Linked DNA regions of Nothobranchius furzeri. The protein of the gene in region 1 interacts with the protein of each later gene in a biochemical or structural test. Links are inferred from orthologs where the notes say so. Each region holds a gene or a part of one and is shown in the gene's direction. Other genes may lie near its edges. The genes, in order: lrrk2, CUE domain-containing protein 1, arfgap1, synj1, bag2, rps15 and matk.

Region 1 (2,337 bases):
GCCTGCAGCCAACTGTGCAGCTACTGCAGGTGCGTGGTTCTGGTGGGCTGGTCGATCTAACAACGGGCCCAGATCAGCACATAGATCTAATGTGTGTGTGTGTGTGCGCGTGTGTGTGTGTGTGTGCTCCCTCAGGCAGAAGCTACTGAGCAGTGAGGCGTGTGTGTCCCGAATGGTTGTGGATAAATACGTGTACCTGAGTAAAGCTGGAACACCGACTGTTGAAGTCTGGGACAAGAAGAGCGAGAGGATGGTGGACTGCATCAACTGTGCTCAGATTATTAGGTACACACACACACACACACACACACACACACACACACAGCCACATATAAACGTGTCATCTCCTCACAGGAACGACTCTGCGTGCAGATGGAGGCGGGGCAGCAGAGTGGATCTGGGCTCTGATTCGTCCTCCTGGGCCACGGTGAAAGCTCTGCTGGTGCAGAGCTCTGCAGCTCTCTGGATTGGCACCAGAGGCGGCCACCTGCTGCTGCTGGAGCTCTCTAAACACCAGCCACTGCAGGTCACGGCACCCATGTGTGACTCTGTTCGCTCCATCACCTCAGCATTCATACGTAGGTCCTCCTTTCACTCAGGCTGGACTTTAGATGTTCTGCTTTAGACAACGGAGCTTCATCTCAGTGACCTTTTCCACCAGTTATTTCTTTTTTTTCTAAAGTATTGCATGCTTAATGTATTTTTGAGCTGATGAATTAAACATCTTAGCATTTATTAATGAAAAAGTAGGATTTTTAGAGGCCAGTGGATACGTTTAACTTGGATATTTTGACTATTGTCTTAACAAGTCTGAACACTGCTGTGGAGCCTGAATGGAATTAGATTTAGTTTCAGGTCAGTTTCTTTTATTTTGGCGTGAAACAAAAGTCAGAGAAACACAATTTCAGATTTCTAAACCAGTGGATCCCAAAGTTACTCTGCTAATCAAATAAGACCAAAGAAACTGTTCATTATATAACTGATTTAGGGGGTTTAACCCTCCCACTGTCTTTATGGGTGTGACCCCGTTAGGAAAGTTGACCATGTGGCAGGGGTGAGGTGGTGCTCACCCCTGCCACATGGACCCAAGGGATAAACCATCAACCCTACTCAATGGTCAACTTTCCTCATGGGGTCACACCCACTAGGACAGTGGGAGGGTTAAACCGGTTAGCTTAAAGGTTCCATATCATAAAAAACACATTTGGGAGCATTTTATATGTGATATGGTCATTTTCTCATGTGAAAGACCCCAAACCCATCTTTGGCTGCATTCATGCATGGTTCTGCCTCAGCCATAATTAAAATGTGAAGATTTTTCCTGCCTCCAGGAGAAAGTATCCCACTTACCTCATCAGGCATTTCTCCGTTCCCTCCTACATTAATGACAAAACATCTACAAAGGTGCACATAATGGCCAGCACAAGAGATTTAGGCTTTTTGTTTTGTAACAGACGTGGTAGTACAGTGGTTGGAGTGCTGGCTGGGCTCTTACCGCTGGACCACCATAGCCCATACAGACTTGCCGAAGACGCTGTGCTAGGCACGTTTTGTCGGTGTGGGCGGAGCTTTGCTGTAACGGTATAAATTTGGGCTGATGAAACTAACTTCTATTTAAGATAAATGACATCTCAATAGTGCCAATGATGATATATTATCATAAACTGTGCCTGCCTTTGCTCTGAAAGGTTTAAAGCAGCACAATCTGGAACCTTTAAGTACAAAAAGAGTTAAGTTTTCATTATTTCAGCTTTCAGTCGGGGTCACAACCACTGGTCTAATATCAGACCCTCTGAGACCATCAGCACCATCCTCCAGCTCTAGTGAGCGCTGTAGTGATACTGGACAGAGACCAGTTCAAGTGCAGTTATGTGTAGCAGTGACAGTGGGAACTGGTAAACAAAGAAAAGTAGAGAAAATAAAGATAAGTGAGGCTGAACATCCAGATCCAGCTGGGTTCTTGTTTGGCTTCTCGGGGCGATTGCCCGTAGACGACTCTCTGCACGCTGTGTGTTAAAGCTGGTTTCTCACGAGCAGAGACACTGGACTGGAAGAACGTGGTGCTGGTTCTGGGCAGAAGACTCCCACGAGACAAGAATCAAGATGGTGAGCCTGATGTGTCCTCTGGTGTCCTTTTTGGAAAACAGTCACCTCGCTGGGAGGCTCTCGCTCTACGTGTGTGTGCGTGCGTGTGTGTGTGTGTGTCTCACAGATGAGGAGTCTGTGCTGATGGTGTGGAACAGCATGCTGCCACATGAGGTCAAAGACCTGAAGAAGCACTGTGAGAGGAGAGAGCAGATCGCTGCTAAAATGAAAGAGCAGCTCCTTCATGCCTGA
Region 2 (4,199 bases), on another chromosome or scaffold:
CAGCCTGGGCGGGACTGCGAGCTGTGGAGGCCGCTGAATCGTTCCAGGAGTCACTGTGCTCTCTAACCCAACGACCTCCCACCCCTGTCCAAACGGAGGTGACGAGCGCTGCTTATCGCGGCTGCATTCACTGACGTGTGGAGAGTCCCAAACCCCACCTAGTGGACACTTATGTTGTGTAATGTCTGAAGTCTGTTGCATTTTGAGGTGTTTCTTGCAGAGCAAAGCTGCCCTCCCTGTGGAGGGTAACTCCAAAGTGCCTTTTTTCCTCCACCTGAACCAATCCTCATATGTAAACCCCTCTGATCTCTATTAAGGTAGCGCGACTCAGGGTTGCGAATGACCACAGTCACCAGTTCTTGTCATGTGTCTTTGCCTGTACCTATGTCTGATCTCTGAATTGTGTGTACTGAAACTCTAATTTCCCTCTGGGATTAATAAAGTATCTTTGAATTGAATTGAATTTGAATATGACCTCTAGTGGTTTGTGATCTGTCACTAGATCAAACTGTCTCCCATATACATATGGATGTAGCCTCTCACATGCCCACTCTAACGCTAGGGCCTCCCTTTCTGTTTGAGAATACCTTCTCTCACAATCTGTCAGACTCTGACTTCTGACTCTGACTGGCTGCCAGTCAACTTCAGGGTTCATTTCAAGATCCTGGTTCTGGTCTAGAGGGCCTTACATGGACAAGCACCATCTTACATTGGTGATCTTCTTAGTCCCTACACCCCCAGCAGGTCCCTGAGGTCCAGTGATCAAAGCCTACTGGTTGTGCAGCACCAGGCTAAAGGTCAAAGGTGACAGATCATCTGCTGCTGTGGCCCCCAGACTCTGGACCTCTCTCCCCCTGAGCCTGAGACCAGTGGACTCAGTGGTCTCCTTTAAAAAGCAGCTGAAGACTCACTTGTTCAAGCTGGCTTTTGTATGACCTTCTTCACCTCTCTCTCTTTATTCTGCTCTCCCCACCTATTCCACCTTCCTCAGGATCCACTGGTTTCCCTCCTTCCTGTTCACTCTCCCTCTTTCTTAACATTTTTAATCACAATTGTCTATTTTTGCTCATTTTAAATATATTTTTAAACATTTTCTAAATGCTTTTTTATATTTTTACATTTTTTTTGTGACGCACCTCGTGATTTTTATCTTGAGAGGCGCTATAGAAATGATATTTTCTTCTTCTTCTACAACCACGTCCCAGAATGCAACACATTATCACCTGTCTGTGATCCCAAGCCCAACTGGTCATGGCACAATGTGGAGCTCACACATTCACTAGAATGAAAAAGACTGATTTTGTGAGGGGGGATCTTTGGTGCCACCCATGCAAACAAGTGTCCCCTGGGCCACCCAATTTTACATGCCCTGGACACGCCACTGTGGTCCTGGAAACCCTTTAGTTGTCCTTATTTGTTTAAAATATATTCGTGTCATTGTAAATCAGTGGTAATATTAGGTTTAATTTCAGAGAAATCATTTGTGAGCGCGCGCCCTTCCCTCTCTCTGGACCTGGAGCATCCGGGTCCTGCTGCCTCCTCCTGTGAGTAACGGCCGCAACATTCCGCTTTTGTTCTGTTTGCTTCCCACCTGCTAGCCGATTCTGATCAAACAGCGAAGCAGGTTGAATTCTTGTTATATGCAGATGTGCTTACATGTCGAACGTGTTCGGTTCCGATTAGCCACGTTTCGCTGACGTGTGTGAATATTCGCGACTGAGACTTGCTGAGAAAGGCCTGACGTGTTAGCTTGAAGAGCTAACGCGTAGATACTAAACAGTTTACTGAATGTCCGCAGATGTTGTTACTCATAATCAGTGGCACTGATTATATTTACTTTGTTCTTAATCAGCCGATGTGTGAAATATTTTATATCATTTCCTAAACTAGCCGGTTAGCATCCCACTGATGATGGGACAAGCTTAGCCAGCTAACAAACAAACAAACAAACAAACAAACCCATAACAGCACATCATTTATCACACTTACATAATAATAAATATAATATATAATATAATAAATATAAATGGTGAATCAACAAGTCTGACTCAGATCAATGCATTCCTAATCAGAAATCACGTTTAATATCCAGATATCAAAATGTTCTTTAATAGAAAATATTAACAAATCCTAACTCAAAACACCAAATTATATTACAAAATAAATATTGCATTTTCTTAGTTTTCATCATTTTACAAGCTGTTGTTTTAGCCTAAAGTTTATTTTAATTGTCAGTTGAATTAGTCAGATACATATTTTGTGACTTTAGAAAATAATTAGTGACTGCTGAGAGGAAAGTATTGTTCAGATTGTTCAAAGAAGAGGAAAAAGAAGTAATTTATATTTATCTAAGATTTAGTGAGAAGCAGCCTCTTAAGTCCTTGTAACTGTTAACGTCAGACCTCTGTGGACTGGACCTACTACAGCCCACTGGTTTTGGTTCCTCTCCCTGTGTCGGCTGCTCGTGGGGCATGCTCTCTGGGGCCTCATTTATGACTCTTTGCTCTGAATCTTTACTAAAAGTCTTTTTAAGCTCAGCAAAACATTTGACTTATGTAAAGTAACTTCCTGTCCAGCCTGATTATAACAGATTTGGCTCATTCCCTTAAGTAGACGTAGATAAAGTGGGATGTGAACGTTTGGGCAGCCTTGTTAATCTTCATGAGTTTCCTGTATCGACCGTTGGTTGTTACGATAAAACATGTCTGTTAAATATGTCATATAGCAGGAACACACAGTGATATTTGAGAAGTGAAACAAAGTTTATAGGGTTTACAGAAAGCGTGCATTAATTGTGTAAACAGAATTAGGCAGGCACATAAATCTGGGCACTGCTGTCATTTAATTGATTCCAAAACCTTTAGAGCTAATTATTGGTTTGGTAAGGTCAGTGACCCTTGACCTCCATACACAGGTGACACGTGGGGGTCTGAAAACAACTCTTAAATGACCTAAAAACTAATTGTTCACAATCATGGTTGAGGGCATGATGATAAATGATAAATGAGCCGCACTTGTACAGCACCTCTCAGAGTGAGGACTCCAGAGCGCTTTACACTACAGTGTTGCATTCATCCATTCACACACACATTCACACACTGGTGGGGATGAGCTACGATGTAGCCACAGCTGCCCTGGGGCGCACTGACAGAGGCGAGGCTGCCGAGCACTGGCGCCGCCGGTCCCTCCGACCACCACCAGAAGGCAAGGTTAAGTGTCTTGCCCAAGGACACAACAGCAGAATTCTCTGTCCGGAGCCGGGATCGAACCTGCAACCTTCCAATTACCGGACAACCCACTCAACCTGTTGACCTTCTGCTGCCCCAATAATAAAGACTCTGCACAACATAATATGTTGTTTATGTTGTTTATGTGCTTAGCAGACATAAACAACACATAATAATAATATAAATCATGCTCTTCCTAGAAATGTGCTGATATGACTCTCCTAAACACCCACATCCTGCTGTAGATGTGCAATATAAAGTACCTTCATAGAAATAAACCAGCTGATGTTACATTGCATGTTGTTGCAGCAGTGCAGGGGGTTATGGAGCCACGGAGATCGCAGTGGACTTAAAAAAAACAACCTAAAAAGGAATTGGTCAGATCTGAAGGTGGAGGCAACGTAGAAGATGGCAATAGTCATTAGGTGCGTGTCCTTTAATGGAACGTCAGGATAAAGGCAGTGAGGGCGCAACTGACCGGGACAACCGAAGGCCCAGTCCTCCTAGTTGTTGTGTTTCCATTTACATTTAGGCTCGGTAAGGAATTAGTTAAAACGCAGCACGACCGCTGCGTTGTGAGCTATGTCATCGATTGGTGCAAATCACGCAGACCCCCCCCCCAAGCACGGAAGCCAAACGGTCCGCCTAAAACTTCCCTCCCAGGGGAAACGCTGATATTTTCCAACTGAGTTACAATGAATGGGCAGCGTTCCCGCCCACCAACTGCACCGGGCCGCTCCAACTACCTACCCCTCTTCAGGTTCTTGGAAGGTTCCTGAAGACGGCCGTTCAGCTGGCTCGCTCAAGTGGACACATGCACGTTTGGAGGTTATTATAATGATGCCATCCAAACGGCTCCATTTTGGTGCTCGGTAGATAATCATGACATAAGAGTATAATTAAATTTAAATCGACGAAAATTTAGACAGGAAATTTTTCATCACATCAAACAAATGTACTGGCTGCCCGTAG
Region 3 (4,255 bases), on another chromosome or scaffold:
ATCTGTTTTATGTGTCTTAGGCTTTCAAATTTTATGACTGTTTTTCAGTTTTTTTATTGCTTCTTTTATGCTTTGTGTCTTTTATGTTTGTGCATTGTTCTTATCTGTGCATCACTTTGAGGCAATGGCTGTTGCCATGAAAATGTGCTATATCAATAAAATTTGCCTTGACTTGACCTGACTTAATGACTTGTTTATTATGATCATCTTCTACTGTGTTATTCGTAATTATGTAAAAATGACATAAGTTCATAAGTTCATGTCTGCAGAGTTTATTTGAATGGATTGTGATTTCCATGGATTAGGCTCTGGTCAGTCATAGGTCATGAGAAGGATATAATCAATTTGTGTGCTTATGCTGATTGTTTTGCAGAAGATAATTAGAAAAAATGCTTCATCAAAAGAGTATTTCTTATGATATTTTGATAAAACAAAAACTTGAATTTGGTTCTACACTGACCAGGTTCAATGTTACAACTGAGTTTGCTATAGCTGACCTTATTTTGGCTCATCCTTACACCCAAACCCTCACCTGGTCAGGTATGGACTCAGCTAGACCTGTGAAGTTTTGTGCAATAAACCGCTATGTGCAGTGTGATTAAGCACTTGTCTATCAGAGGCAACATTAGGCCATTTAGCAATTTGAGCTGCAGCAGCATCTGTTGAGTCGGAAAAACTAGATCTCCTTCAATGAAACCTGACTTCCCATGCCCCGTCTCATTCTTTATTTATTTATTAGACACCTTGGGGGACATTGTGATTGTGGCAGGTGGACAGCATGCCACAAAAGCTGCAGTAAATCTCATTTCACATAATGCACTGTGTTCTGAATGTGTCTTATTTTGACTTTGACTTGGCTGTCTTTCATTTAACCTGCCGCTGTGTAAAGTTACATCCTGTTTCAGGTTCTTATCATTATCATCAGTCACAATCATTTTTCCTTTGAAACATAATGCAGTCGTTGCATGAAGCTGTGCTGTTATTATGTTGTAGCTATAGCTCCATATCAATGCACTGTAAAAAGAGTTTGCATTTGATTAGCAGTATCTAAATAGAGTAGTTTAGTAATGAAACAATCACATTTTGAAAAACTTGATGTTTAGTCACGTTTTTTATTCGAGCTCCAATCGTTTATTTCTTTCATTTCTGTATTGTCAGGTTTTCTTGATTTTAATTTTTTTAAAACCTTCATTGTTGTCTTTTCAATTATTCTAATGTGCTTGTGCAGCGCTTTGTGATTTTTATCTTGAAAAGTGCTTCACCATCATTATTGTCGCTACTATTACATCTATGACGTCTAATATCTGTTATTCTTGTGTTTTTTGTTTCAAGAGCAAAAGTAGTAACAATCTATCCTGACAGGGGGCAGTAGCGCGCACTTTAAACGCACTTCCGATGTAAAAGATCACAAAGAAAGCTTTACCCATGATGCATTTCTCTGCCAACGTATGCAAACAGGAACACGGCTACCGGCTTTTAACATCGGCGGTATTTTAATTACTCTTTTGTGGAGCCGATAGTCTCTGACAGCCCGACATCTGCAGCTCCGCGGCGACAGAAGAAAATCCTCCGGGGAGTTTATCAGCGGAGCCAACAGAGTCTGAAAGCGGCGTCCTTGTTGTTCACCAGTCTGTCAGGTAACACGGCTAGCGGCTAGCTTACATTAGCATCACGAATCTGCCAGCTCACTGAATTTTTATCAGTTTTGTGTCTATTACGAAGCCCCGCTTTTAAATATTACCCGAGATTAGGAGCATTAACCGCGTCACCAACTTATGTCAAGACGTTGCTTGATTTCAACATAACTTGTGAATAAAATCAAGACTACTAGTGAGAGGAAGCCTGACACGACTACAATTTACTGAGGAAAAATGGAATGTTACCATGACAGTCACCGAAATGAATTTTTCTGAAATTGGTGTTTTTTTACGGGTTACAGCAAGTACAAAAACATCTGTTGCGTTTTACATTTTAGTCTTGGTCGTTAAAAATTTTACAACAATAAATAGTGAAAGCTATTTTAACTAACCAAAAACTGTTTTCAATATGAATCTGAGAGGGAAACACGTCTGGAATAAGTAGTTTTCTGTAGAAAATCTGAATGTAAACTACATTTTTCAGTTTCAGCTGCTTTTTGAACGTTCTTAAATCACTGCTGAAAGGTTTATTATTTGACAGCCATTTGCGTTCTGATTCACTCCTGATAATCTGACTTCCCTCTCTGGCCTCTGGCACTTTAACATAAACCATAATCATTTGTGATATGTGGATATGCCATAAATTTGTAGCTTATATGTATTTTAATTTCGAGTAATCATAGTATTAATTAGCATCTGCCATTCACATTTTCATTTGTTTCTCGCTCCATCATTCTGTCATTCTTTGGAAAATCCTGTGGTATTCCGAGGCTCTACCAGGCTCTGGGAGATCTGTCGTTGGTCCAGCAGATTCTGGTTTTGTGTCCTCTTTAATGAGCTCCCCGCCTTATAGTTAAAGCTGAGGCCAGTAAAGCTGTTGACTAGAAAGCCAGTTTCACCACTTTGTTTATGGGATCTTGTTCTTTGAGTCATGATCCAAATCTCACAAGTAAAAATCACAAATGAAAACATGAATCTGGAGGGACCAGTAAATGGAAAGTTTAGCTTTTTGACTCAGCTTCTTCGTTACCACCACACGCTGGGGTAGAGTGTGTGTTTCTCCAGATGAAGCTCCATGCTATCATCACTTCTGAATAAGATATTGAGATATCGACCCCTTAATTTGAGAAATGTATCTTTTCCAACTTGGAGGAAGTTTTCCACCGAGTTCGTTGGAGACTTACTTGAGCTTACTTAACTCTTGGGTTTGTTTGTGTGTTGTGAAGCACAAGGTCAGATCTGTGCCAAAATCTAAATTTAAAGAAAGTTCATATTGGGTGCAGTGCTCAATGACAACACTTTGGCATTTACCTTCAGAGAAATGTACACACGGAGATGTATAGTGTGTCTGGTGAACACTGAGTAAGCCAGTAGCTTCAGGGTTGGGTGGAATTGACTGTTTGCCAAAAGTTGTTAATTTAGCCTGAAATCCACCTGGAAGAGGGCACCGTACGGTTGTGGCTCCTGGTTGAGTCTAAACTCTGACAACTCCTGTTGTGCCCCGAGGATATTATGATCCCATTCTCACTTAGCTGTTGCCAGTCTCTTCTTCCTCCTCTTTACCAGTCTTATTTTTGCCAGGGCGTTCCACTGACAGCGTGACAGGGAGCATCCCAGAATCAAGACTGCAATTAGTGAAACTAAGCTACTTCCTCTACAACTTATCAGTCCCTCCAGCACGTCAAAGCCTTATTATTATTATTATTGTTATTATTATTATTATTATTATTATTATTATTATTGTCCCAGCAGCTTAAAATAAGTGATGGGAGATCAGTGTTAGTCATCATATAATACCATTTGAAATCTGTCCGTGTTTGTTGGAAAAAAAACTCGATTTATTATATGTCAGCAGAACTCTTGAGTTATCTCCAAAAGCATGTGATCTGATGAGTGTTTAGGTGACTTATCTCCGGAAAGAATTAACCACGTTTTTTTAGCTGCAGCCAGCTGATCTCGTCTTCTTTCCAAGCAAGCAGCGATTAAATAGCAGCAAGTCTGCTGTCTGGAGTCGGTCCAGGTTTGTTTTAGGATGCAACGTCAAAACGAGAGTTTCTGTTTAGTGCCATCCAGCCGTTGAAGGCTTGTGGATCAATCACTTATAATTACAATTAGTGTGTGAAATACTATTGGTTTAAAAGTTACATTTTTTCCTTTGATGTTAATAAAAGATCTACAAAAATTCTCTTTCAGTGTGGGTGATCATGGCGAGTCCAAGGACCAGAAGAGTTCTGAAAGAAGTGAGAACACAGGATGAAAATAACGTAAGTGGCTTAAATTTGCCCCATCATGCCACCCTGCTGCTCTTCACACAGAGGGTAGCGTTTGGTTGGCAGACTTTCAGTAAAGCACCTTCTGCTAGCTCTTCAGAAACAGGTTCTTTCATTAACATTCAAATGAATGGAGAGTCATTTTGGACGGAAACATCTCTGCCAGGTGACATTTGGTTGGAGAACTTATCTGGTAGTTGTAGCAACTCATCTGTGTTAGATAACTCACTAAGAAAACAGCAATATTACCTTTTAACTTAGGAAAAGCTAAATATATTTTTGTAGAAATAATGGTTTTAATGCCAGTGTAATGCTAAATAGATTTTAAATAATGAGGTTATACAGGAT
Region 4 (3,189 bases), on another chromosome or scaffold:
GCTGACTAAATACTTTTTTGCCCCACTGTAAGTTAATGGTTTTAGAATACCATCAATAACTCTTTTAACCAACACCATATCAATACCGTCACAATCAGTGGAGACTTTGTTGTTACATTTATCAGCAACTGATTTAACTTCCAACTCATCCACTGCTGAGAGGAAGATTGAGTCTTCTACGATGCAGAATCGTTTATGTCCGCATCTTGATGCCTCGATTATTTAATTATTTTCCTCATCTCTAACGTGCGTGCGTGTGTGTGTATGCGTTTGCGGGAGGGTACATTGGAACTTTGTCCCCCCCAGTTTGAAAATCCTATCTGCGCCCCTGGCGTATCACCACTGCTTTGACAGTGAGTGGTGTCTCTGATCAGTGCCAAAAGGTGTCCACAGACATTAATATTATTAAAGGTTTATTCTATTAAAGTACGCCTTGGAGGGAACGGGGAGAACAGCTGTGCGATGTTAAAAGTGGCATGAATTATGACATTGTTGGGGGGGTCTCTGTTGTTTTTTTCAGCGTTGGGAGTTTAGAAACTCAGATTTCAAAGCAGTGTGAGCGTTGCTTACGTTTATTCTTGTTCTAATTCGCTTCAGTAGCAACTCTTGCAGTTTTACAAATGCAGCTTGTTTGGAGAAGTCTGCTGATGTCATTTCCTACTGAGTTACAACCAATCAGCATGAGTTAACCACAAGTCCCGCCCAGCGGCTGTAGCAGACCTTACCTTAGTTCATGTACTTTGTTTGTTCCTGAAACGACCCGGATAATTGGTCCTTTTGGGCCGGCCTGGTAAAATGGTTGCACACGCATGCCATGAAAGTCTGGTAAAATGACCTGAAAGTTCTGATAGTGGAAGTGGGCCTTTTGTCTTAAAGAGGCTATGTTTATAGTTTGTCACCTTTAAACATCGTCATTTGTTCTGTTTCTCCTCTCAGGCCCCCCACCATCTGGACCCCCTCCTGCAGTGAATCCCCAGGTCCAGCCTCAGCCAGCTCCACCTTCCGCTTACCCTCAGCTCCCACCACCAATGCAGCCCACGCTCCTGGCTCCTCTGCAGCCGCAGCAGGCCTCCACACCACCGGCATCGACTCTGCCTGCTGCAGCTGCTCCCACCGTCCCCCCTGCTGGGCCTCAGCAGAGCCTACCCTCTCCTAAACCTCCACCTCGTTCCCGCTCGTCTCACACTCTCCAACCCGACGCCGCCAAGTCTGAAACGGCCCCAGCTGCACAGGTCGGTGCCAACTTGGAGTTTCTGTGATAACACAATATTAGCAACACTTTGTCTGACAATTTAGTCATGTCTTCTAGCAGGAGGTGTTGCAGAGAAAATCTTCTCTTCTTTGACTCATGTTAGGGTAGTTTAGTCGTCTATGTCGTTCTTCCTGCTTTTGTCTCTGATGCATTTGTCTCTTTCTCACAAGCTGGAGAAACCATCTGGGTGAAAAGGTACACTACATTAAACCAGCTTTTTGTCTCATCCTCCATAGCACAGCAGTTCCCTGCTCTAACACCCCTCTGTTTTAGTCCACCGTCAGACCTTTTACATGTTTCTCTTTTTGGAAAATAAAGATTGTTACCATTTCCCTTCACTTGACCCATCATATGCTCTCAACAGCTGCGTTTACATGAGCCAAATTTCCTCAATCCGATTGAAATCCTGGTTGATCGGAATTTCCGAATCTCTGTTCACATGGACACGAACTGAAATGATCCGATCATGCCGTGCGTACATATGCACCAAGCATTTAATCCGATTAAATAGGTTGAGCATGCGCAGAGTTGCCTTTCCCGAAAGAAAAATTGTAAACAAACGCCATGAAACGACATGAAAAATGTAAAAACTGAAATAACTATTCTTCCTGCTTTCCAGATCCATTTATTCTATTTAATATTTTTATTTAGCTCATAGAAGTTACGTTTTCTTCAGTGAGCAACTGCAGATATATGCTTTGCTGCATTTTATTGTTGATTAAAATAAGGGAGGGTTATGTCTCTGCCTCTCGATCAGCTGGTCCGCGGGTCTGAAGTGACAGCTGTGCTGTTGCGCTGCGGCACAGAGCGGGGGGGGGGGGGGGGGGGGGGGGTTTAGACTCATGTTTTATTACTGAGCTCTGTTGTGGCTTATTATTAATAACATGTGACAATCAGCTGAAACTGTTGAGAAAAATCTGTTCAAACAAAATAACAGAAGATGTTCAGAAAGTTTTAGAAGCCTGTGTTCATCATTCACGAACCGCATCTCAGGTCATCTGCGTTTACGTGCTTCTAACACGGACTTTACTGTCGTCCAGAGTATTTAACCGAGGACGTTTTCCTACCCAACATCAGCCTCCAATCAGGTCTGTAAAACCCAGATTATCCTGTATTCTTTACAAGCGCGCCTCCATCACCTGCTGCAGAAGCTGCTGCGTTCAAAGCTGACAGAAACGAGGTTCCTTGCGCTGCAACCCCTGCGATAAACCTGCGTATTTCCAGTACAGATTGGAACATGTTTGTCGAATGATTTGTGCAATAATCAGATTTTTATTTTACTTCCACAAAATGCAAGTTCTGAATTAAATATTACTGAAACAGGGACGGCTTGTCGTCGGATTTAAAAGCCGCCGCGCATTAATTACGCCGTCATTTTTGAAGTCAGGCAGTCCAAATGACAGCGGAGAGGCCCGCTCGCTGTTGCACACATGCGCAGTGGGCATTATTTTACCCCAACAATCCGAATGGCTGTGTACATGCACGTCAATCGGAATGAAGAACGGAATAAACCACCTCTCAGTCGGATTGAAATTTCAATCCGATCGGGCCGAATCGGATCAGAATATTCCGATTGACATGTTTACATGCAGAATTTTCGATCTGATTGGGCATTCAATCTGATTAAATGTGCGCATGTAAACGTGGCTTCTGTGTTAGAGGATTAGAGTGAGCTCATATGAAATCTGTGCTTTATGCTATAATTTTTGCCAAATCTGTTATGTTTTTGTTTATTCTGTTCACTGTGACACATAAATCATTGTTTTAAATCTGCCACATTAAAGGTACCCTTAGGATGTGCAAAAGGTCAAATTCAAAGTTCAATAACTTTATTTGTAACTAAAGAGTACGACCAAAAGATCAATTTAGAGATTTAAAATAAGAAACTGCTTGAATGAACTAGTTACCATTTGTGTCAGTTGTCCAGTGTCAAAAAA
Region 5 (4,175 bases), on another chromosome or scaffold:
TGTGTTGATGTCTTGTAACTTTTAACACATAAAAGGTAGTTGTGTGTGTGTAAATTAAATTTGATTTACACTTCATTCAGATATTGGTGAAGTTTTCAGATGGAGCCTTTATGCACTTGTGCTGATTTACAGTTTAACAGGTAACTTCTAATGAACAGATGGAATTTTTTTCAAGAGCTTGTGAAATCTGCTTGTGTCGGTTTGGGATCACCTTGTTTGTGTGGATGTAGTTTTCCCCAAAATAATTCTTGTTAATCATTTCTATAAATGTCCCCAAAACAGGGAATGACGCATTAGGGTGGCCACCTTAAGGGACGTCCACCACAGCTTCTCTGGACCATGGGTAACTGTTACAGGACCTTTTGAAACAAGATCTTTATAATTGTTGAACTATTTACATAAAAGGATTAGGGCCACTGAAGAAGAAGTTCTTTTTCTCTTTTCTGAGGGAAAAATAATCAGAATTCTGAGGTTAAGGTTAGACGTCTCATAAATATTTACACCATTTTGTTCCTATTAGATTTTGAGTTTAGGAAGAAAACTTTTGCCAAAAGTGTATGAATGTATTTTTTGTACCAGATATTTATATTTAGGGAAATTATTTTTAAAAAATAGATGTAAAAATCTCATGGGTACTTTAAAGCAGCAACCTGGAGTTTCCCCCCTTCCAAGAATTATTTATGATTTTCTTTTAATCCATAAAAGCCTGTACTGTGATAACCAAGGCAATACATCTTTTTGAAATTTTCTTGGCGATTTTTGGGGGAGGTTGAAATCACGGCTCCCCCAAAAGGGTAATCAGCTCCCCCGGAAGCCATCAAACGACATACACATGGGGAGCTCGAAAAGAAGATTGGACGGAGAGGTGATCAGAGGGAAGACGAGCCCAGACTGATGCAGAGTTGGTAACATTTCTTATGGACAAGTAAGTCTTTAAAATATACATGATAAACAGCACAACATGACTGTTCATAAAAAGGCCATAATCATGGAAACTGAGAGGCCTAGGGGTGTAATGCAGTTTTCACCTCTAGATGACAGGTGTCACTGCGTTGTGGGAATTCAGTTCAATTAATCCATAACAAAAGGCTGCTTAAATCTCACTTTTTCTATTATATCTATGATTATTATAAAGTAAAAGCCATTCTGGAAGGTCCACTGTGGCTCCAGAGTTGCGGGTTGCAGACCACCACAGGCTTTCATCTGTAGTCTGGAGTGAAAATGAATTATATATATATATATAGGCCTGGATAAGTTTATCAGAATAACTTGATTACTTTACCAATCTGCCTAATAAAAATTATGCCCAAATAAATCAAGACACATTACTTAAAACTGCAAAGTGAGTTGGAACATTATAGGTCTTTTATTTCCGTGGACCTGGAGGAGCTTGCTCACGGACCTCTGCTGGTCCACGCTCCTTACGATTGGGAGCTCCAGCTCTGGTCTCCTCGGGAACTTTCTGCCGGAGTGAAGGAAGTCCATGTTAGGAAATGTTCCCCCCATGGGGCGCTGCTGCTGCCTGCCTCAGTCCGAGGATTTACACCCAGCTGGACGGCTCGGAGGGACACACACTGGATTTTGCGCTCACCGAGGGAAAGCACTGTAGCCATCATCTTCGTCTTCATTATGGCTCAAGCGAAAATACAAGCGAAAATGAACGAAGCTGCCCTCTGCAGCAAGTTCAGCAGGACGCTTTCTATGGCAGACCGCTCGGGGCGACTCCTGGAAAGTTTGGATCAGCTGGAAACGAGGTAACAGGCCCTTGTTGTACCATGTGTGCTACGGAGCCGCTATTTGCCCCGGCCGCTAACATTTATTGGCATAAACCTTTTATAAACACTGTAAACAGGGCAATGTGACAATAAATGTTTTTCATAACAAACATAACTGGTTTGCAGCGTGTTATTTCATATGCTGTCTCTCTTTCTGTGTCAGAGTGGAGGCTTTACGAGAAGCAGCATCTGCCATGGAGCAGGAAAGGGAGTGCATCCTGGAAATGATTCAGTCCATACAGAACAGTCAAGAAATGAGGAACATCTGTGCTGGTGAAGCTGCTAACTCTCTCTTAACTTACATAAGCGCAAAAGTCACGCACGGCTTAATGCCAGGGAAGATACGCGGTTATAAAGGGGAACTAGTACGGTTAATGTATTTCTACCAGAATCCCATCTCCTCTGATCTCACCCAGACCCAGTTTGTGTGAACCAGGCTCATGTTTCACCTCTGGATCGTGTGAGTCAATAGCCTACATCTGGTTTATTGATTTGGTTCCGCTGTAAACAGACAAAAAGGCCTAACCCTTAAAGCTCATTATTTAAATCCAGAGTCTGACCAGGGTAGACCGTCTAGTCATGTTGGTTTATGCTCCATTAAACCTCATTAATGTAAGTTAGTATGATTCACACGAGCTCCATGGTTCACCTAGAAACTCCTCTCAACTGGTCAGGGATTTGAAAGAAGGGCTTTATGTAAAGGTGCATTATGTAAGACTGACATCCTGTGGTCAAATTTGGTTACTGCAGACCACATTTGTAAGCAAAAGTCACTGCCGTGAGTGTCAATCAAAATCAAATCAAAGATACTTTATTAATCCCAGAGGGAAATTAGAGTTTCAGTACACACAATTCAGAGATCAGACATACATGGGCAAGACATATGACAAGAATTGGTGACTGTGGTCATTCGCAACCCTGAGTCGTGCTAATTGAGATCAGAGGGTTACATGAGGATTGGTTCAGGTGGAGGGAAAAAAAGGCACTTCAGAGTTACCCTCCACTGGGAAGGCAGCTTTGCTATGCAAAAAAAAAAAAAACACCCACCTCCGACAGAGATGCAACAGACTTCAGGCATTACACAATATAAGTGTCCACTAGGTGGGGAGGTGGGTTGGGATTATCCCTACTTCAGTTCCTGCAGCCACGATAGATTCTCATGGCGCAAAAGGGCCTGTTACAGATCAGCACCAGAAGATTCTAGATGACAAGAAAAGATGAGTTATAACCTAATCTTTGAATAAAATTTGCAAACATAACCGAACATTCTGTCCGTTAAACACTAGGCAGTCCGGCTCCGACTTTGCTTCCTGTTCAACTACTCTAAGCCAAGAATGCGCAATACATCCACAAATACGGGTATGCGCATACAGCGGAGGGACTGTCAGAGGGGAGTTTGATGGATGGATCATGATTCAGTCATTAAGAACGGGATTGCATGTTTCAGAGGAAATGAAAATTATTAGTTTTTCGACAAAGCATTTACTTTATTGGTTGCTGTACGATGTGATGACCATAACAAGCAATATGGCAAAAAATGCTCCAGAGAAACATCGTCCATCCCAATAAAAAATATGTTTGGAAATGTTATTGCATTCATTTCTTCCAATTAATATCAGTGGTATTTTGGTGTCAGCTTGTTATTATTGACAAGTTGGCAGAATCATGGAGAACATCATGAATATTGCTTAACAGGTTTCAGTGGGGGCAGTATTATGGTGTGGGGTGGGATCTCAGACAAATCAGAGCTTGTACTCATTGAAATAAACTTTTAGAAATATGAAATGACTATTGATGTGCTGTTACAGCCGCATTAAAAGCAGTTTCTTTCCTATAAAGATTTAGTAATATGTTTACATGTCTTCTAGGTGAGAGGGAAGAGTTATCTTTGACTGCGAACCGTCTGATGGGCCGAACGTTGTCTGTGGAGATCTCTGTTGGCACAATCAGAAACCCCCAACAGGAGGATGCACTACTCAAGGCCACGTCTATGATAGACGAGATTGTGAAAAAGCTGCTGAGCGACATGGAAGGTGGCCGTCAGCAGCTGCTGGCCCTGCACGCTGCCTGCGTCACGGAGGCACCGCTCGTCCCTATTGACCAGAAGTTTCAGACCGTGGTGATCAGCTGCGCTCTGGAGGACCAGAAGAAGATAAAGCGAAGGCTGGAGACTCTGCTGAGGAACGTTGAAAATGCCGAAAAGAACATCAAGATAATGGATCACCAAAAACTGGAGGGCACAAAAGCTAACGGGGGTCACTGAGACCCTTTGCCGAGGTGTCTTGAATTCCACTAACCTCACAGAAAGCTATAGTTAGCTTTTACACATTTAATTAATTTCAGATGGACTCTGCTTGAAGCAGCAAGGAGAGGTCTTATGGGAAAATGCCATACCGAATT
Region 6 (4,144 bases), on another chromosome or scaffold:
GGTTCCATCAAGCCCAGACAATTCCACAAAAGGGAAGAGAGGAGGAGCTCAGGGACACCAGGTTATCTTCTGTAAAGGAGTTTAGTTTGAGCAAATGTACTGCGCACATTTGGGGGCGGCTGTACAAAAGACTCTGCAAGCTATTTAGGTTAGCAGTAGTTTAAGTTATAATGTTAAGTTTTGATGTTTATAAATTGTGATTTTTATACAATGCATTTTTGGGCCTTAAAGGTTACCATAGCTTGGGCCGTGATGACGTAATTCTGTAAACGAGTCCCGCACGGTGTTGTAACGTTGCCTTATAGTCCTCCGAAGTCAGACCAGTCTCACCTTCATCAGCTGTTAACTTTATTTTCTCTCTAAGTGTTTTTCTCCCCAGAAGAAGCTACAACGATGTTCTGCTGAGCTGTGGTGGCCTCATGGAGGGGGCCATCGTCTAGCACACTGCTGCTAACCACTTAAACATTCTCCCTCTCCTGATAATAACTTTTTACTCTCTTTGACGTTGGATGTGCTACTGCTAGTTTACCCGTTTAATTATAGATCCACTAGGATAAATACAATAAAGTTTATCTCTCACCAAATAGAATATTTACTAAGACATCACAACATTTATGTTTATGTATTTAGCAGTCGCTTTTGTCCAAAGCGACTTACAAGTGATAATTGGCATGTAACAATGTAACCATAGAAACAATACTTGGTATACATGTTGTGGGGGGGGGGGGTTGCTGGTACCTATCTATCCCCAGGAGGGGTACACCCTAGACAGAGTGCCAGTCCGTTGCAGGGCTCCAAATTCGATATTGGTGAAAATGATTGTACCTTCTGTTCTAACAATATAGAAACTGAAGAACGTGTTTTTTTAAACTTGTAAATATACAAAAATATTCTGGGACAGTTTTTGTCTGTGGGCTTCAGATATTTAGGTATAATTTATTTGTCCTATAATCATGTTAAATTTGGAGCTATTTTGGAGGACAAGGAAAAACAATTCACAGTAAATAATTTGATCATTTTAGCAAAATTCTTTGCACACAAATGTAAATTTGGTAAACCTTCCTTTATTGTTTTTCTGAAGGGTCTCGTGTCTCTTTTGTTGCTCCAACAAGGCAGTAGGTATGATAGGTTTGTCTGTCACCCCTGCATCTTTGTGATGCTTTACTCAGCTATCATTATGAACGTTAAACATACATCCGTTTTCTTAAATGTTAGAAAGTAAACCTGTAAGCTTTGTTGTTAATAAAGTTTAATTTTAAAAAAGTGGTGGAAGAGTCCTTCTAGCTAATCAGAGGCGAGAAAGGAGGGATCTTCCTTGGGCATCCTACGATTCCAAATAACGCAACCCGCGTGACTCTTTCATGTCCTTCTCGCGATATCAGGCGTAACGAGACTTCCGGTCGTTCTTTTCCACCGGATCGTCGGGCAAGATGGTAGGTGTTGTTCTGACGCTAAAGCTTATCAAATGATAATCCTTGTGCATCTGAGCTTTAATGTCATCAAGAGTAACAGACGAGTTCATGGTGCTGTAGGTAGACATCTACAGCAACGATTTAGTGGGATATTGTGTCGTAATGACCGGTGAAGCTACCATCGGGAGGCTAGTTTTAGCTTTAGCTCCAGCCGCCTGTTCACAAACGGGATGGAGACCGGAGTGTGAGGCGTCTGCCGTCTAAAAGCTAATCTAACAGGGTGGTAGTAGAAATGCTAACAAGCACAGCATCGCAGTGGCTGAATGATGCTGTTCTCTCCCAGGCGGATACCGAGATCAAGAAGAAGCGCACCTTCAGGAAGTTTACCTACAGAGGTGTGGACCTGGACCAGCTTCTGGACATGTCCTAGTGAGTAAGCAAGAACAGTTCTGCTCATACGAGCCGTTGATGTCAACACCGGGTCACTTCAGGTATGCACTTGGAGAACGAGTACACACAAGGTCAGAGTTGTGTGAACCGATGAGAACGTCCTGCAGGTGGGTAGTCATGGTTGCAGTCTGAGGGAGATGAGGATGAGAAACGCACAGATCACGTGTGTGTGCGTGCGCGTGGCGGCTGAAGGAAATAGATGTTTTAAAAGTTCACCATCTGTAACTTAACAGAAGATGATGATGGTCGCCTTACAGCAGCAATCCAACTAGACTTAGTTAAGCTAGATACTTGGTCTCCGTGGTTTTGCCTCTGAAGCAGGAAAACGGTGAAAAGTTAGCTTGTTTTCCACCTTTATTCCCCCGGTGATCATGCGTGTGACCCCACCACACAGCAACGATTTACTAGAGTTGTGTAATATAACCCGTCTACTGAATATTAGATGAATTTAAGCTGCAAGAACGAGCCTGAGCGCTGTTTACAGTAGTAAAGGACTTACACGCCTCCAACGGGGCAACTGATGATGTCACGATCACGCCCTGTTACGATTGAAGCTGCGCTCCATAAGGTTTGTAACTGCTCCTAATGGTGTCTGGTCACCATGCGGTCTGGTGATCTGAGCTCCAGCCATCGAAGAGAAGCTCCAGGAGCGTCGCATCGCTCCGCTTTAAGATTTCAGCTGCTTGTGTTTCTCACACAACCACAACTTTCATTTTCAATACGGTTTCCTACCAAAGCTCAACTGTAACTCTACACCTGATCACGATTGTGCCAAGATGAATATGCAGTATCACTACCAAGGACAAAAGCTGCACATTCCCACATCGCCATGCCGCCACGGCGCGCTCATTAGACACCGTGGCGGCGGTATTGCGCTGATTTGCCAGCATGGCGTGTCTTAAGAGTTTGTAACGTAACACAAGAGACTAGTCTACCCTGCTGACTGTACTGTTCCTCTGCAGCGAGCAGCTGATGCAGCTCTACTGTGCCCGCCAGAGGAGGAGGCTGAACCGGGGTCTGCGCCGCAAGCACCAGTCCCTCCTCAAACGCCTGCGCAAAGCAAAGAAGGAGGCTCCTCCTATGGAGAAACCAGAGGTGGTGAAGACTCACCTGAGAGACATGGTCATTCTGCCTGAGATGGTCGGCTCCATGGTCGGCGTGTACAACGGCAAGACTTTCAACCAGGTGGAAATCAAGGTAAGAAGTCATTAATCAGCTGATTGGAGCTGCTGTTTTCTCTAATCAATCTAATTTCAACAGTAGACCTTCTCCTTAACCAGTAGGGGTGTAACAATACTGCAGTGTCATCGTAGTTAAATGACCACGGCTAACGCCTACCCTAGCGGTCAGTGGGAGCTTCATCACCAGATGATGACGGCACTCCCTGGAACATGGAATATGTCAGGGGTTTTTCCTGCATTCAAACTAGCGTGGCGGCCGCCTCCAGCTAATGCTGTGCCGCCCCAGCCTGATTTCACTGCCCCAGCTATATGGATGTTACTTTAACTGCAGTTGCAGCGGTGCGCCACTACAGGGGCGCTGTATCAGCAGCGGTGCACCGAAAAGAACTAAAACCGCAGCAGACAAAGATCAAAAATAGCTTTTCTCGCTAGTTGGTGCATATCTGGTTGGTGTTACTGACGTCCTGATTTCCCCCAGGCTCTTCCATGTCAGAGCAGGGCTGTACAGTGCGATGGAAACAACTGTCTGTGCCTCCTCACAAGGACACAATGGCAGCATCAAACTGAGCGGGGCTCAAACCTGCAACCTTCTGATGAACTCCTGAGCCACCATCAGGATTCTTTATGCTTCGTGCTTCGTGACATTTCCAGAATGACCTTTGGGTTAAAATAGCACAAACCCAGTGTTTCCCTTGAAATCAAACCCCCAACACCCCCGCTCTCACGGCCAACCCCCCCCCCCCCCCCCCCACACACACACACACACGCCTCTCCACAGCTGGACCAACTTCTAGGCCAAACATGTTCATCTTATTTGATGGATAATTTTAGTTTTGAAAGCTCATTTAAATGTGATCTAACCAGTTTTCCATAGGCCACGTTGGAGGTGTTCTACAGGGTTATCCGTGGTTCGTAGTCAAACCGCCAACCCTGTTACTAAGAGATGCTTAGGCTGGCGGCACTGGGCCAAACCCTGCCTGAAAAGTCATGGCGCCGTTTTTAGGCAGCAGAAGCTCCGGAGGTAGAGCGGGTTGTCCAGTAATCAGAAGGTTGCAGGTTCGATCCTGGCTCCGGACAGAGAATTCTGCTGTTGTGCCCTTG
Region 7 (4,143 bases), on another chromosome or scaffold:
AGAGAGGTTTGTTTTTGCACAGTTAAATGCTTGGGGAGCAAAGCACTTAAGACATAATAAAGTATGCAGCCGTACAATTATGCTTAGTAATTTTTATTTCCAATGGATGATGTGCAGATTGGAGAAGATTTAGTTGGGGGGGGGGGGGGGGGGGGGGGGGGGGGGATCTGTAGAAATATAGCGGTTACAGTCCTTTGACCTTCCTCCTTGTGCCTGAATCATGTATTTAAAAGACAAAGTTTGAGGAACATTTATATGTTGTTTTTGTGTGGGTAGTGCTGTTTTGGTCTCATTTATATGAGTTGTATAGGAAAAGGACAGTTGCACAACTTTGGCTTCTAAAAGCAGACCTGAGAGACTTGCTGTGTGTTTTTAGTTCCATATTTGTTTACCAATAGCCTCTTATTGCTTATTTTATTTACAGCGGGTGTTGCGGTCTCTTTTGTATTGTTGAAACAGGAAGTGTGAACATTGCTGTCTGAATGTATTTGTAGTGTTGCCTCATTAAGGAGGGAAATAATAAAACACTCTTAAGCCATTTTTTGCCTCCTTGGTTGTTTAATTTAACACGTTCAAAGAAGTATTTGCCTTTTCTGAAATTATGAGTCAGCTATGGTTAACATTTGGAAAGCTGAGTTCAGGTCCACACTCAGGATTAGTTACTGTTAGACCTGTAGGATTGACCTCAGTGGGTCCTGTTTGACACTCGTGGTGAGTTTTGAAGAAATTCAAGAACAACAACCCATAACTAAATCAAACGCAATTCAGGTCTTGCTTTATTAGATGAACAAAAAGCAACATTGGCATCACTGAGAGTCCCGAGACAAAAACCTCTTCTGACCAAAGAAGAAAACCAGAAACACCTGGCTCATAGTTGCAAAGAAAAGTCCTAGAGTCATTTGGAAAATGTTTGTTGTCACATCTGCTGTAAAATTAACACCATGTCAGACAAACATACCAACAAGCATGGTGGTGACCGTGTGATGGTCTGGGGCTGCTTTGCTACATGACCTGGACTACTTTCTGTAATTGATAGAACTATGAATCTTGTGCTGGAGCATAAACCCCCAAAGTAGAATGTTTGACCTTAAAGAGGCGGCCGCTCTGGAAAATTCTCAAAAGTGGCTGAATTAAAACAATTCTGCAAAGAAGAGCGATGTGAGACCTGTTAATTATCTTTGATAGAATGTGTTCCTTCTAACAACATCCCGATGTAAGGTTTCACTCTGGGCATCAAGTAGTTTTTGTTCATTTAGTGAGGGAAATCATCCAAAGTGTCTTTTGTGTTTCCTCTGGTCAGCTTTCAGTTGTTGACCGTTTGTGTGTGTGACACCAAGCTGTCCAGTAGGTGGTGCTGTTGCTGCAGTTGCGATGACAGGATGCATGAACCACAAACCGCAATCTTCACTCCGCCTCCTAGAACAATAAGAGATATCTTTGCGAATTCCGAGGAAGTGTCTCTCATCAGAAGTCGTCCAGGATAGAGGATTAGTAATAGAGACAGCTACAGCTGAACGGAAGCTGGAAACGAGATGAAAATCCAGTTTGAAACCATCTGACAGCTGTCGGAATTTTAGTTTTCATCTCACATCCGGCTGCTTTTAAGAAAATAATATTTCCAGAGAGCGGCAGGTACTGAAACATGAACAAACGTACCAGCGGCTTTTGGGGCAAAACCAGCTGATTTTACAGGTAAACAGAAAATGTAAATTTAATTATTTCTTTGTCTTACAGAACATCCAGAAATCCCTGCAGCTCACAAGGTAGGAACAATACGTTTAAGATGAAATGATAGAAAGTTGTTTTTGTTCACCAGCACCAGTGTAAAAATTATCCAACCAGAGTTTGTTATCAAATGTATAGCAAGCTGTTATAGCATTTAATTCATTAACCAACACACTGAGAAAAAGTTACAGTTTCAGTAAAAAAAAAAAAACACATTCACTGCATTTATTTCGATTTTTAAACGTGTCTTTTAGTAATTTTCAACTAGATTTACTCTATTTTGTTGATATGCATAAATAATTCCCTGCTAACCAAAAACAAATTTCAAGTACAAACATTTCAGTGTTGTTCAAAACTTCTGGGGCTTAATCCATCCCAAACTATTACTACCCATTAACTGTTGGATCATGTAAATATGTCATTTTTAAATATAAAAACTACTAGCCATACTTTTAATTTCCTTTAGAAGGTTTTGGTAAATAAGAAAAAGCAAGAATAAGAGTCTGATCATGAACTCAATTGTTAAACAGAATTTAGACAAGTTTTGTTTTAAGTTGTCAGCTCTTATTCTGCTCTTCTATGAAAACGGTTTGCTGAGAAGAAACAATATGAACTGCTTGTTGTCTCAAAATAATTTCCTTCATTTTATCATCTAAGATCTTGTGGTCCCTATGTAGGTCATCTGTTCTCTTTTGTTCTAAATCTGCAGGCTTAAAGCAGTCACAATCTGATTTTATATATAAGGTCCTCTGGCTCCTTTAAATCTTTTACTTTTTTTCAGATGTTAGAAAACATTTTCTTATGATTTCTGACCAGCTTGACTTGTTTTTTAACTAGTTTTGAACAAAAATGTTTGTCAAAGGCCTGTCCCATTTCTCATTTCTCTCTGTTCTTCCAAAGATCTACCCCTAATACAAACTTTTAAACAGCTCTTGTATAAAATGTGGCCAGGTTTTCAAAGTTTTTTTACAGACATGTTTAATTTTTCTATTTTACAAGCCTGTTGTATGTTTCCACTGGTCACCTGTGAACCACCGCAGCACGTCACACACTTCACAGAGAAAACTCTTTTGAACTTCAGAAACTTTTATTAGTACAGACTCATCATTTCCCCGTGTGGTCAAGACCTCTTAAAACAGAACTGCTTTGGGCCGAGCGTGTCTAGGCTGTAAACAATCTTTATTCTCTCAGAGATGGAGATCCTGTGCTCCAGCGTGTGGCTTCCTCTATACCCTTAGCTGTTCAAGGCCAAACAGCATCATTAAACCGATGCGACACTGTGACCTGTAGACTACTCACCATGAATTATTCAGACCCAAAACTGCTCCTATACAGTCAGGTTAAAGACAGTTTAGAAACAAATCACAGTTTGTTGGCATTTTTAAGCTGAATCTATGACAAATTCTCAAGAAATCCGTTTTGACATGTATCCTAGTGTTTTAGCACTAATAAAGGGATTCCCATACCTCTAAAACCTCATCATACACTTCTTATTTATCTCAGGTCCTGTTTCACATGACTTTCACACACCATTTGTCTGCTGCTGTAAACAAGTTTTAGATCTGGCGTTTCTTCATTTGTCATTCATGTGTCCACTTTCCATATTTTAATGGCACCCTTCACGTTTTCCTGAACCAATCAAAAGAAAACTTCAAAAGACCTTCAAAAAGTTGGAAAAATGTATGTATAACCTGAAGACTATCATGAAATTTGGCATTTTTATGTTTATTGGAAGTTGAAATTAAAGTTAAATATATGAAGAAATAATGTATATAATAAAACATTTTAATAGTTACAGTAGGTAAAGAAACAAAACAATCTTTTATATAGCGTCTCAAGATTAAAATCACGAGGCGCTTCACAAAAACAAAAAAAATGTAAGTACAAAAATATTTAAAAAATGATTAAAACATATTTAAAAGGAGAAAAGAAAAAAATGTGAGGAAAGAGAGAGAGAGAAAATGAATGGGAAAGAGGGAAATCAGTGGATCCCAGGAAAGGCAGAATAAGAACAGAATAAGGAGAAGTTGGTGATGAAGGTCACACCAAAGCAAGTTTCAACAGGTGAGTTTTCAGCTGCTTTTTAAAGGCCCAATGTGTGATATTTCATCTTATAAGTTATCAAATTTCTTGTATCACATTCTCAAATTTGTTTTTTTTTAATGATAATTCAAACAAGCATTTATTCTAAGCATTATTATTAGCTTTATATTTTAATATTTTAGACAAAAGAAGCAGACCGGTGCTCCATATGGCATGCGCCATCTTAAAATACAGTGACCTTTTAGGGACATACAACATATTAAGCTTCGCATTTGATGTTTGCGTTTTTAAATGATGTAACCTCAAAGAAACAGCAGGGGGCAGAAGTGCGCCTTGTAAGCATGCAGTCTGACAAAGTAACTAAGAAGAAGAAGA

The links.
Region 2: the proteins of lrrk2 (region 1) and CUE domain-containing protein 1 form a complex in vitro, tested with the Homo sapiens proteins (2 studies listed by BioGRID and IntAct, with this or other methods). The link is inferred for Nothobranchius furzeri from reciprocal best matches to the Homo sapiens genes LRRK2 and CUEDC1.
Region 3: of the proteins of lrrk2 (region 1) and arfgap1, one has a biochemical effect on the other in vitro, tested with the Homo sapiens proteins (3 studies listed by BioGRID and IntAct, with this or other methods). The link is inferred for Nothobranchius furzeri from reciprocal best matches to the Homo sapiens genes LRRK2 and ARFGAP1.
Region 4: of the proteins of lrrk2 (region 1) and synj1, one has a biochemical effect on the other in vitro, tested with the Homo sapiens proteins (2 studies listed by BioGRID). The link is inferred for Nothobranchius furzeri from reciprocal best matches to the Homo sapiens genes LRRK2 and SYNJ1.
Region 5: the proteins of lrrk2 (region 1) and bag2 form a complex in vitro, tested with the Homo sapiens proteins (2 studies listed by BioGRID and IntAct, with this or other methods). The link is inferred for Nothobranchius furzeri from reciprocal best matches to the Homo sapiens genes LRRK2 and BAG2.
Region 6: of the proteins of lrrk2 (region 1) and rps15, one has a biochemical effect on the other in vitro, tested with the Homo sapiens proteins (2 studies listed by IntAct). The link is inferred for Nothobranchius furzeri from reciprocal best matches to the Homo sapiens genes LRRK2 and RPS15.
Region 7: the proteins of lrrk2 (region 1) and matk interact on a protein array, tested with the Homo sapiens proteins (2 studies listed by BioGRID and IntAct, with this or other methods). The link is inferred for Nothobranchius furzeri from reciprocal best matches to the Homo sapiens genes LRRK2 and MATK.

The regions. Positions count from the first base shown.
Region 1 is NC_091744.1:48,488,694-48,491,030, forward strand, and holds part of lrrk2 (leucine-rich repeat serine/threonine-protein kinase 2), read left to right. Parts: intron 1-135; coding exon 136-285; intron 286-354; coding exon 355-578; intron 579-2,019; coding exon 2,020-2,106; intron 2,107-2,212; coding exon 2,213-2,337. UniProt on the Homo sapiens protein: Serine/threonine-protein kinase which phosphorylates a broad range of proteins involved in multiple processes such as neuronal plasticity, innate immunity, autophagy, and vesicle trafficking.
Region 2 is NC_091753.1:61,627,391-61,631,589, forward strand, and holds the start of CUE domain-containing protein 1, read left to right. Parts: upstream 1-1,399; 5' UTR 1,400-1,544; exon of another isoform or gene 1,545-1,624; intron 1,625-4,199.
Region 3 is NC_091743.1:50,659,459-50,663,713, forward strand, and holds the start of arfgap1 (ADP-ribosylation factor GTPase-activating protein 1), read left to right. Parts: upstream 1-1,455; 5' UTR 1,456-1,637; intron 1,638-3,830; 5' UTR 3,831-3,841; coding exon 3,842-3,901; intron 3,902-4,255. UniProt on the Homo sapiens protein: GTPase-activating protein (GAP) for the ADP ribosylation factor 1 (ARF1). Involved in membrane trafficking and /or vesicle transport.
Region 4 is NC_091750.1:63,460,071-63,463,259, forward strand, and holds part of synj1 (synaptojanin-1), read left to right. Parts: intron 1-936; coding exon 937-1,232; intron 1,233-1,422; coding exon of another isoform or gene 1,423-1,443; exon of another isoform or gene 1,444-1,447; intron 1,448-3,189. UniProt on the Homo sapiens protein: Phosphatase that acts on various phosphoinositides, including phosphatidylinositol 4-phosphate, phosphatidylinositol (4,5)-bisphosphate and phosphatidylinositol (3,4,5)-trisphosphate. Has a role in clathrin-mediated endocytosis.
Region 5 is NC_091752.1:19,643,860-19,648,034, reverse strand, and holds the start of bag2 (BAG family molecular chaperone regulator 2), read left to right. Parts: upstream 1-1,375; 5' UTR 1,376-1,629; coding exon 1,630-1,754; intron 1,755-1,938; coding exon 1,939-2,048; intron 2,049-3,643; coding exon 3,644-4,038; 3' UTR 4,039-4,175. UniProt on the Homo sapiens protein: Co-chaperone for HSP70 and HSC70 chaperone proteins. Acts as a nucleotide-exchange factor (NEF) promoting the release of ADP from the HSP70 and HSC70 proteins thereby triggering client/substrate protein release.
Region 6 is NC_091751.1:72,012,154-72,016,297, forward strand, and holds the start of rps15 (small ribosomal subunit protein uS19), read left to right. Parts: upstream 1-1,344; 5' UTR 1,345-1,430; coding exon 1,431-1,433; intron 1,434-1,755; coding exon 1,756-1,841; intron 1,842-2,824; coding exon 2,825-3,059; intron 3,060-4,144.
Region 7 is NC_091748.1:57,570,431-57,574,573, reverse strand, and holds the start of matk (megakaryocyte-associated tyrosine-protein kinase), read left to right. Parts: upstream 1-1,343; 5' UTR 1,344-1,632; exon of another isoform or gene 1,633-1,692; intron 1,693-1,734; 5' UTR 1,735-1,763; intron 1,764-4,143.